2 linked regions of the Canis lupus familiaris genome follow. The protein of the gene in region 1 interacts with the protein of each later gene in a pairwise test. Links are inferred from orthologs where the notes say so. Each region holds a gene or a part of one and is shown on either strand. Other genes may lie near its edges.

Region 1 (4,365 bases):
GAGGCACCCAGGGCACACTTCTTCTATTACACAGCACTGTAATCACTGTTAAATGTCCACTTCCCCTACCTGGCTGTGAGTTTTAAAGGGAGGACCCATACCTTATAAACCATTTCCCAGTCCCTTGCATATGTCTGGTGACTACTGACACTCAATATAAATACACAAGGGGAAAAAGTAACTGTGAGAAACAATTCAAATTTCCCTATAAAAGAGTATACACACTTAACACAATGGTTCTCAATCAAGAGATATTTTTGGGGCAGCCCTGGTGGTGCAGCGGTTTAGCGCTGCCTGCAGCCTGGCCTGTGATCCTGGAGACCCGGGATCGAGTCCCACATCGGGCTCCCTGCATGGAGCCTGCTTCTCCCTCTGCCTGTCTCTGCCCCTCTCTCTGTCTCTATGAATAAATAAAATCTTAAAGTATATATATATATTTTTGGTTGTCACAAAAGGGGAAAGGGGTGGGGGGAGGGGTGGACTGCTAACCACATGAAGTGAGCAGAAGCCAGAGCATCATCTTAGAATGCAAAAGGACAGCCCCCCACAAAAAAAAAAAGAACTATCCAGTCATAAAATATCAGTAGTGCCTTGGTTAAGAAAGTTAGTTGCCGGGCAGCCCCTGTGGCTCAGTGGTCTAGCGCCCCCTACAGTCCGGGGCGTGTCCTGGAGTCCCGGGATCCAGTCCCACTCAGACTCCTTGCATGGAGCCTGCTTCTCTCTCTGCCTGTGTCTCTGCCTCTCTCTCATGAATAAATCAATAAAATTAAAAAAAAAAAAAAAGTCAACTGTCACCTGACTTATTCATATGTGATGATCGCATGTCACATCTCAGCAATGATCAGAATCCCAATTTTGCAGTTTCATTTGAAACTTCTATTAATAGTCGTGCATGCACCAACACATGGTCTTTATATAAGAACGGTCCTTAGACAACGGTAATGCTTAACAACATTAAACCACGAGGACGGGAAAGTATCCCGTATTTCCGAAAACTATAACTACCAGAAGCTACTCTTTTTTTCAAAGTTTATTCATGTATGTTTTTTAATAACCTCTCCACCCAATGTGAGGCTCAAACTCGGGACTCCTAGGTCAAGAATGGCATTGCTTCTCCAATGAAGCCAGCCAGGCGCCCCTACCAGACGCCACTCCTGAGTCAGGAAACACTTCGTTTTATTTATCAACTTTAAAGCAAACCATAGGCAGACTAATTTTCAGATGTGCAACTATAGCGGAAACACAGTCTGAGGGATGAGGGGATAATCGGTTCCTCCAGGTTGGACTAGAAGGAAACCCTCTCCAAGTACCACAAGTAAATCATGCACACTCGTCTTTACTGCTGGACCCAGGAAGGGACGACAGGGGTAAAGGGCATGTCCTTGCTATTGCTAAAATCATCAGCTTATCAAGATTTCTGACAAAACCACTGCAAAAAAAAAAAAAAAAAAAAAATCATCAGATGTCAATACAGGGCGGCAGATACAAAAGTTAACTATTTCTCCCCTGATGCACGACCAAGTCTCACATGACTTGACCATTTCACAAAGCTGTGCAGGAGCCAAGGACACTCCCTTTCCATATAGTGGATGACTCAACTGTCTTTGGCACATTCCTTGGCTAAATACTACAAATTCACTAATTTCTTCCGTCCTGTGAACCAGTAATCCTACTCCCTCAGTAACCAACTAATCAGTTTGCCCCAACTTTTCAATCGTTTACAGTTTGTCGCAGCTTCTCAGATTCCAAAAAAAAAAAAAAAAGAAAAGAAAAGCTATCCAAAACAAAACCTTGAGTGACAGCAACGCTTGTAGGAAATGATACTCTTCTTATTCTAGGAGTCGATCTCTAAACAACACACGTACAGCTTTCCAATGCTCTTGGCTTTACAGCTTCAGGTTTTTCCAGCTTTCCAGTAGGGACAGCGCTGGCAGAAAGTGACGGAGCGAGCGCTGAACACTAGACGAAGCGGACTGCGAATTTACTCTCGGAGAGCTCAAAAAAAAAGGTACCGGGGCTGAGAGGGGGAAACGCATTTTTAATTGGGGGACGGAAAAAAAAAAAAAAAGTTTCCAACAGTGAGTAATCTCCTCCTCCTCGGCGGGTTTCGCCAGGAAGTGTCGGGACCACGACTGGGCCCGAGCTAGGCCGGGCTTGGGCACGTTACCCCGCGAACCCGCGGCCCAGGGCGGCAGGTGCGCGCGAAGCCGGGCGGCGGAGGGGCCGGGCGCTCCCCGCCGGGCGAGGCACCGACTCGGGTCGGCAGCGGCGTCCCCGGGCCGGGGAGGAACGCGCCGCACCACACCCTCCCGCCCCGCCGCCCGCCGCGCGCCGCCCGCCGCGCTGACAGCCCCGCGGGGAGCGCGACGCCGGCCGGGCCTGGGCGCGCGGGGCCGCGGGGGCCTCGGCGGCCGCCCGGGCTCCGGCCCGCCCGCCCCGCCGCCCCGCCGCCGCCGCCGCCGCCGCCCGCCCTCCCCCGCGGCCCGCCCCCGGCGCCGACGGCCGAGGCCTAACCACCTCCCGGCTGCGGGGCCTACAGGAGGAAGGAGCCACCGCCTCGGCCCCTCAGCGCGGCGGCGGCGGCGGCGGCGGCGGCGGCGGCGGCGGCGGCGGCGGCGGCGGCGGGCTCCGCTCACGTGCCGCCCCGCGGACGGCTGCACTCGCTTACCCTCTGCAGAATCCTCCTGAACATGGTTTAAACGCCGCCCGGGCCGCCGCGGTGACTCTCCGGACCCTGCGCGGGCCCCCTCACGACCCGGGGCTGCGCGAGCGGGGGACACGGAGTCGGGAAGGCACCCGGGAGGAGGCCGGGGCTAGGCGGTGGCGGCGGCCGCTCGGGCGGCCCCGACTTCCCCACAGGCGGCGACAGGGAGCGCGCGCCCGCCGGCCGGGCCGCCCCCGTAACTGACAGCCGGGCGGGCCGCCCGCCGCCGCCGCCGCCGCCGCCGCCACGCCCTCCCGGCCTGTCCGTCCGCGGGGGGCGGGGCCTCGAGGGGCCCGGCCCGGGCCTGCGGCCAATCGGAGGCGGCGGCGGCGTGGGCGGCCGCGTGACGGACAGGCGGCGGGACGCTGGCGCCGCCCCTCCTTCCGGCGGGCCGGGGGACGCCGCGGCGGCGGAGCGCACGCCCGCGCTCCGTCAGGGGCCGTGCCCGCGCGGCGGCCGCGAGCCCGCGGGGGGAGGCGGGCGGGGAGCCCCGGGCCCCGCGGGAGGAGGGCCCCGGGGAGGGTCCGCGCCGCCGGGTCAGGCTGGTCGGCTGGACCCTGCTCTTGACCGAGGCTGCACGGGACCCTCACTTCCGCGGCAAAGCAGGGAGTCGCGGACACGCTTCTCCCGTCCGCTGGGCTTCCCGCCTCGGCTTCGATCCCGGGTCTCCTTTCTGTCCTCCCTTCTCGCTGCTGATTTCGGCCAGAGAGAAAGTAAAGAAGCAGAAGGAAGGAGAGGGAGAAACGAATTTGAGTTGGCAAGAGAACTTTAGGGGCGTCCTTTTTGGATCGTCGGATCAGTCTGTAATCGGCGGAGGTCTCTAACCCCTTCTCCTTGGGAAGCCCCTGCGTGGCCCGACTCCCAAGGAATTTCAAGTCCTGTGCTGCTAACAGGCGTATCCACTGAAGCAACGTTAATGCGTCTGTTTCAGTAAAAAAAAAAAAAAAAAAAAAAAAAGAGAGAGAGAAGAAGAAGGTCACAGATAAACAGGGCGTGTGGACTTCAAACTGACTTCCAGGCACCACGTCGTTACTTAGGTCCAAAAATCATAGCTGGGGTGGCTCGGTCCATGCAGCGTGGGACTGTGGATTTATTCTCAGGTCTGCGATCTCCGGGCAGTGGGAGAGCCCCGCCTGGGCTCCAGGCTGCGCAGAGTCGGCTTGAGAGTCTCTCTCTCTCTCTCCCTCAGCCCCTCCCTCCTCACATGGGCACCTGCCCGGCTCTCCGTCTCTCTAAAATATTTAGATCTTAAAAAAAAAAAAAAAAAAAATCACAGCTCCAGAGTCCCACCATTCTACTAGCATTCACAAGCCAAGGTTCAGGAGCTTTACCCTGGGACGAAGAGGGAAGACTTTAATATTGTTTAAATAAGAAAGAGGGATCCCTGGGTGGCGCAGCGGTTTGGCGCCTGCCTTTGGCCCAGGGCGTGATCTAGTCCCACATCGGGCTCCTGGTGCATGGAGCCTGCTTCTCCCTCTGCCTGTGTCTCTGCCTCTCTCTCTCTCTCTGTGACTATCATAAATAAATAAATAAAATTTAAAAAAATAAATAAATAAGAAAGAAAAAAAGGAAGAAAAGAGAAGAAAGAAAGAAGAAAAAGAAAGGAAGGAGAAAGAAAGAAGAGAGAGAGGGAGGAAGGAGGGAGGGAGGAAGGAAGGAGG
Region 2 (3,806 bases), on another chromosome or scaffold:
TTGAAGGCGGCACTAAACCACTAAGCCACCTGGGCTGCCCAAGATATACTTTAATATATTAAGTTGATCTTTTCTGTGAATCAGGGCCACTAAATAACTTATTTTTTAACACTATGTTAAACACATCTTTTCCCTAATTTTCATTACTACTCTATGAAGTGGGGATTTTTTCCATTTTGTAAAGGTGGAAGCAAGGCTCAGACATTCTCTTGATGTCATTAATGATTAGTAGCTTAATATTCATTGAGTGCTTATTGTTAAATACTTCCATTCATTTCTATTATAATTATCATTTCATAAGAGCTCATAAGGCTATTATCCCATTTTACAGATGAAATGAATGCACAGATTTAGTAACTTCCTCAAAGCTTCAGAGCTAGTAGCACAACTGTAAAATACACCCAGTGAATTGGACTTCACTGTGTTTCCCAGCTTTACTAGAATTGCAGATTGTTACTAGAATCAACCTTTGAGAAAGGAAAGATTCATTTGAACAAAGTACAACCCAAGCAATGCTTAGGTTTTGGACAGAGGTTTTTACATGCTCTGATCATATTAACTCCTTTGGTGGTTCATTTCCCCTCAGAGTCAGAATGATGAAATATAAATTATATTCAGGGTTGGATAATTAGACCTTCAAAGTCTCAACGTCTCTCTGGCTCTTCCTTCACCATCAGCTTTCCAAGCCCCTTGAAAGGTAAAGAAGGTAGCTCAGTTTATTTTCATCAAGTGTTTCCTGCTGGAAAGCTTATCCCTACAGGGTACCTGGGTGGCTCAGTTTGTTAAGTATCTGACTCTTGATTTTAGCTCAGGTCATGATCTCAGGGTCCTGGGATCAAGCCCCATGTCTACCTCCACACTCAGGGCAGAGTCTGCTTAGGATTCTCTCTCTCTCCCTTTTCCTCTGCCTGCCCCACCCCCACTCACGCTATCTCTCTCTAAAATAAAATCTTTAAGACAAACAAAAAAATAAAATAAAAAATAAAAAGACAAACAAACAAACAAAAAACAAGAAAACTTACCCCTACATCATCCTCTGGAGACTCCTACATGTGTTTAGAAGGTACATGCTCTTTCTTTGCCTCTAATTTGGAGGCCTACAGCTGTTAGGCCCATTTAGTGTGGAGGGTAATCCAATCCCTCGACACCAGGAAGACAGCTGCAAGTTGAGAGTAGGCCAAGCCTACCGATTCTTATTCTAATAGATTTTCAGACTTGGAGAGGTAGCAAGACAAAGTGGAAGAGTTGATGCTGAATGTGGTCTGTTGGTTGTCTGTGGTCCTTTTTTTTTTTTTTTTTTAATTATTATTTATTTGTTTCACAGAGCACATAAGCAGGCAGAGGGGGAGGGAGAAACAGGCTCCCCACTGAGCAGAGAGCCCGATGTGGGGCTCAATCCTAGGACCCTGAGATCATAACCTAGGCCAAAGGCAGATGCTTAACTGACTGAGCCACTCAGGCACTTCTATGGTCTATTTTTCTATTTTCTACTCACCTTTGGCCAGAAACGAGAAAGGACAGCTTTTCTGGCAAATGGACCCTGGTTAGAGATTCAGAAATATCAAGAAGACTGGTTATAGATGAAGGATATGGAACCAGAAGCTACCCCTCTGCTCTTAGGGAGGGGTGACTAATCCCATACCCTTGTAGTGAATCTTCCATTTTGAAAGCTAGAAAAAAAGATGGGAGTGGGGGGAAGAACAGTACCAGGATACTAATGAGCTACTGGGGACTTAGGGCATGTATGGGTGCATCTGGGTGTTCTTCAGGCCAACTAAAAGTTGTTTGGTTTGGGGTGCCTAGATGGCTCAGTTGGTTAAGCATCCAACTCTTGGTTTCAGCTCAGGTCATGATCTTAGGGTTGGGAGATGGAGCCCTGCATCAGACTCTGTGCTGAGCTTGCAGCCTGCTTAAGATCCTCTCTCTCACTCTGCCCCTCCCCACTTCTTGGTTTGCTGTTCTTTGAAGACCTGTGGTGGTGTGGTGCTGGGGGACCTGGGTGGCTTAGTGGGTTGAGTTTCTGGGTTATGGTTTCAGGCTCAGGTCATGATCTCATGGGTTGTAGGATAGAGCCCTACATCCTGCTCCAGGCTCAGCTAAAGTCTGCTTAAAGAGTCCCTCCCGGGATCCCTGGGTGGCTCAGCGGTTTGGCGGCTGCCTTTGGCCCAGGGCGTGATCCTGGAGTCCCCGGGATCGAGTCCCACGTCGGGCTCCCGGCAGGGAGCCTGCTTCTCCCTCCTCTGGTGTCTCTGCCTCTCTCTCTCTATGTCTATCATGAATTATTTTTTTTAATTTATTTATTTATTTATGATAGTCACAGAGAGAGAGAGAGAGAGAGAGAGAGGCAGAGACATAGGCAGAGGGAGAAGCAGGCTCCATGCACCGGGAGCCTGACGTGGGATTCGATCCCGGGGACTCCAGGATCACGCCCTGGGCCAAAGGCAGGCGCCAAACCGCTGCACCACCCAGGGATCCCTCTATCATGAATTAAAAAAAAAAAAAAAATGATGAGGAATTAATGGGAAATAAACATATAACAGTTTTCCATCTCTCCATTTCAGCTCCCTTGGCAATTGAGGATTATGTAGTAGGGCAAACTCCACTTCAGATGCAATTCTTATTTTATTGTTTCCCATTCTTGCCACGGAGTGTCAGCTGCCTGGGACCCTCTCAGTGGGATAACCTTTTAATGGTGGATGATTTTAATTGCTAAGTCCTCATAGAAGCAAAGAAATGAAGAGATTTATCTTTTCTCTAAAATTAATTGCAGCTGCAATGTCCCTGTGTTTAATTTTACCTACTTTTTTTCTTGCAGGATTGTTGAAGCCTGAAGTCCCCTCCCCTTCCCCCCTCCCCCCTTTGCCGCTTTGTGGCATCCCCCTCCCTCTACCCTTCCCCATTCTGATAATCTAGCCATGACTAGCAGAAGCACAGCCAGGCCCAATGGGCAGCCCCAGGCCAGCAAAATATGCCAGTTCAAATTGGTCCTGCTGGGTGAATCTGCAGTGGGGAAGTCTAGCCTGGTATTACGTTTTGTCAAAGGGCAGTTTCATGAGTACCAGGAGAGCACCATTGGAGGTGAGTACCTCAGGGAAAGAAGAGGGTCAATGATTAGTGAGGCTTTTGAAGGGAGATCGAGGGATCTGACTGTGTAGCTGGCCTTTTTAAGCTCCTTGGAATGGAAATCCTTTATAAAACTGGAAAAAAAAAAAAAGTCCATAATGCCAAAAAGTAGTTATATGCTTGTCCCCTTGCTTCCTAGAAGAAAATTAGGATGACCTTGGCACACCAAGGTCACTTAATTTTTTAAAGCCCAGTTTGTCTTCTGCCTCCCACTTCTCTCTTAATCCAATTGAAGTTCAGTTGAGTGTCATCTAGAACAGGGTTGGCTTGGAGCAGTGATTCATAATCAGAAATGAACATCAGAATCTCTTGGGGAACATTTTCATCCTGTCATGCTTAGGCCCTATCCTAGATCTACTGATTAGCATTGGAACTAGAGTAAGGGTGGGGAGATAGAGACCTATACGTTTGGAAAAGCTTAGATGATTCGGATGTACATACCTGGTAAAAGAGAGGCTGGAACTAAATACAAAAGATAAAAGGTATGTGCCTTTTCCACCTTTGCTACCATCTCCCTTCTACTCCCAAAACAGGGTGCTAGTTAGTAAAAGACCTTTTATGAGAACTCCCATGTTACTCCTTTCCCGCTTTTACTAGTTACCTTGGAAATGTGGTGTTTTTGACCAGCAGAAGATTATATAAAAAAGTAACAGCCAAATAATACTGATAATAGTGTGATCTGC

What was found.
Region 2: the proteins of EEA1 (region 1) and RAB5B interact in binary tests that used the Homo sapiens proteins (3 or more experiments, as listed by UniProt). The link is inferred for Canis lupus familiaris from reciprocal best matches to the Homo sapiens genes EEA1 and RAB5B.

The regions. Positions count from the first base shown.
Region 1 is NC_049236.1:33,556,365-33,560,729, forward strand, and holds the start of EEA1 (early endosome antigen 1), read right to left. Parts: upstream 2,862-4,365; 5' UTR 2,693-2,861; coding exon 2,669-2,692; intron 2,009-2,668; exon of another isoform or gene 1,635-2,008; intron 1-1,634. UniProt on the Homo sapiens protein: Binds phospholipid vesicles containing phosphatidylinositol 3-phosphate and participates in endosomal trafficking.
Region 2 is NC_049231.1:669,117-672,922, forward strand, and holds part of RAB5B (ras-related protein Rab-5B), read left to right. Parts: intron 1-2,815; 5' UTR 2,816-2,915; coding exon 2,916-3,078; intron 3,079-3,806. UniProt on the Homo sapiens protein: The small GTPases Rab are key regulators of intracellular membrane trafficking, from the formation of transport vesicles to their fusion with membranes.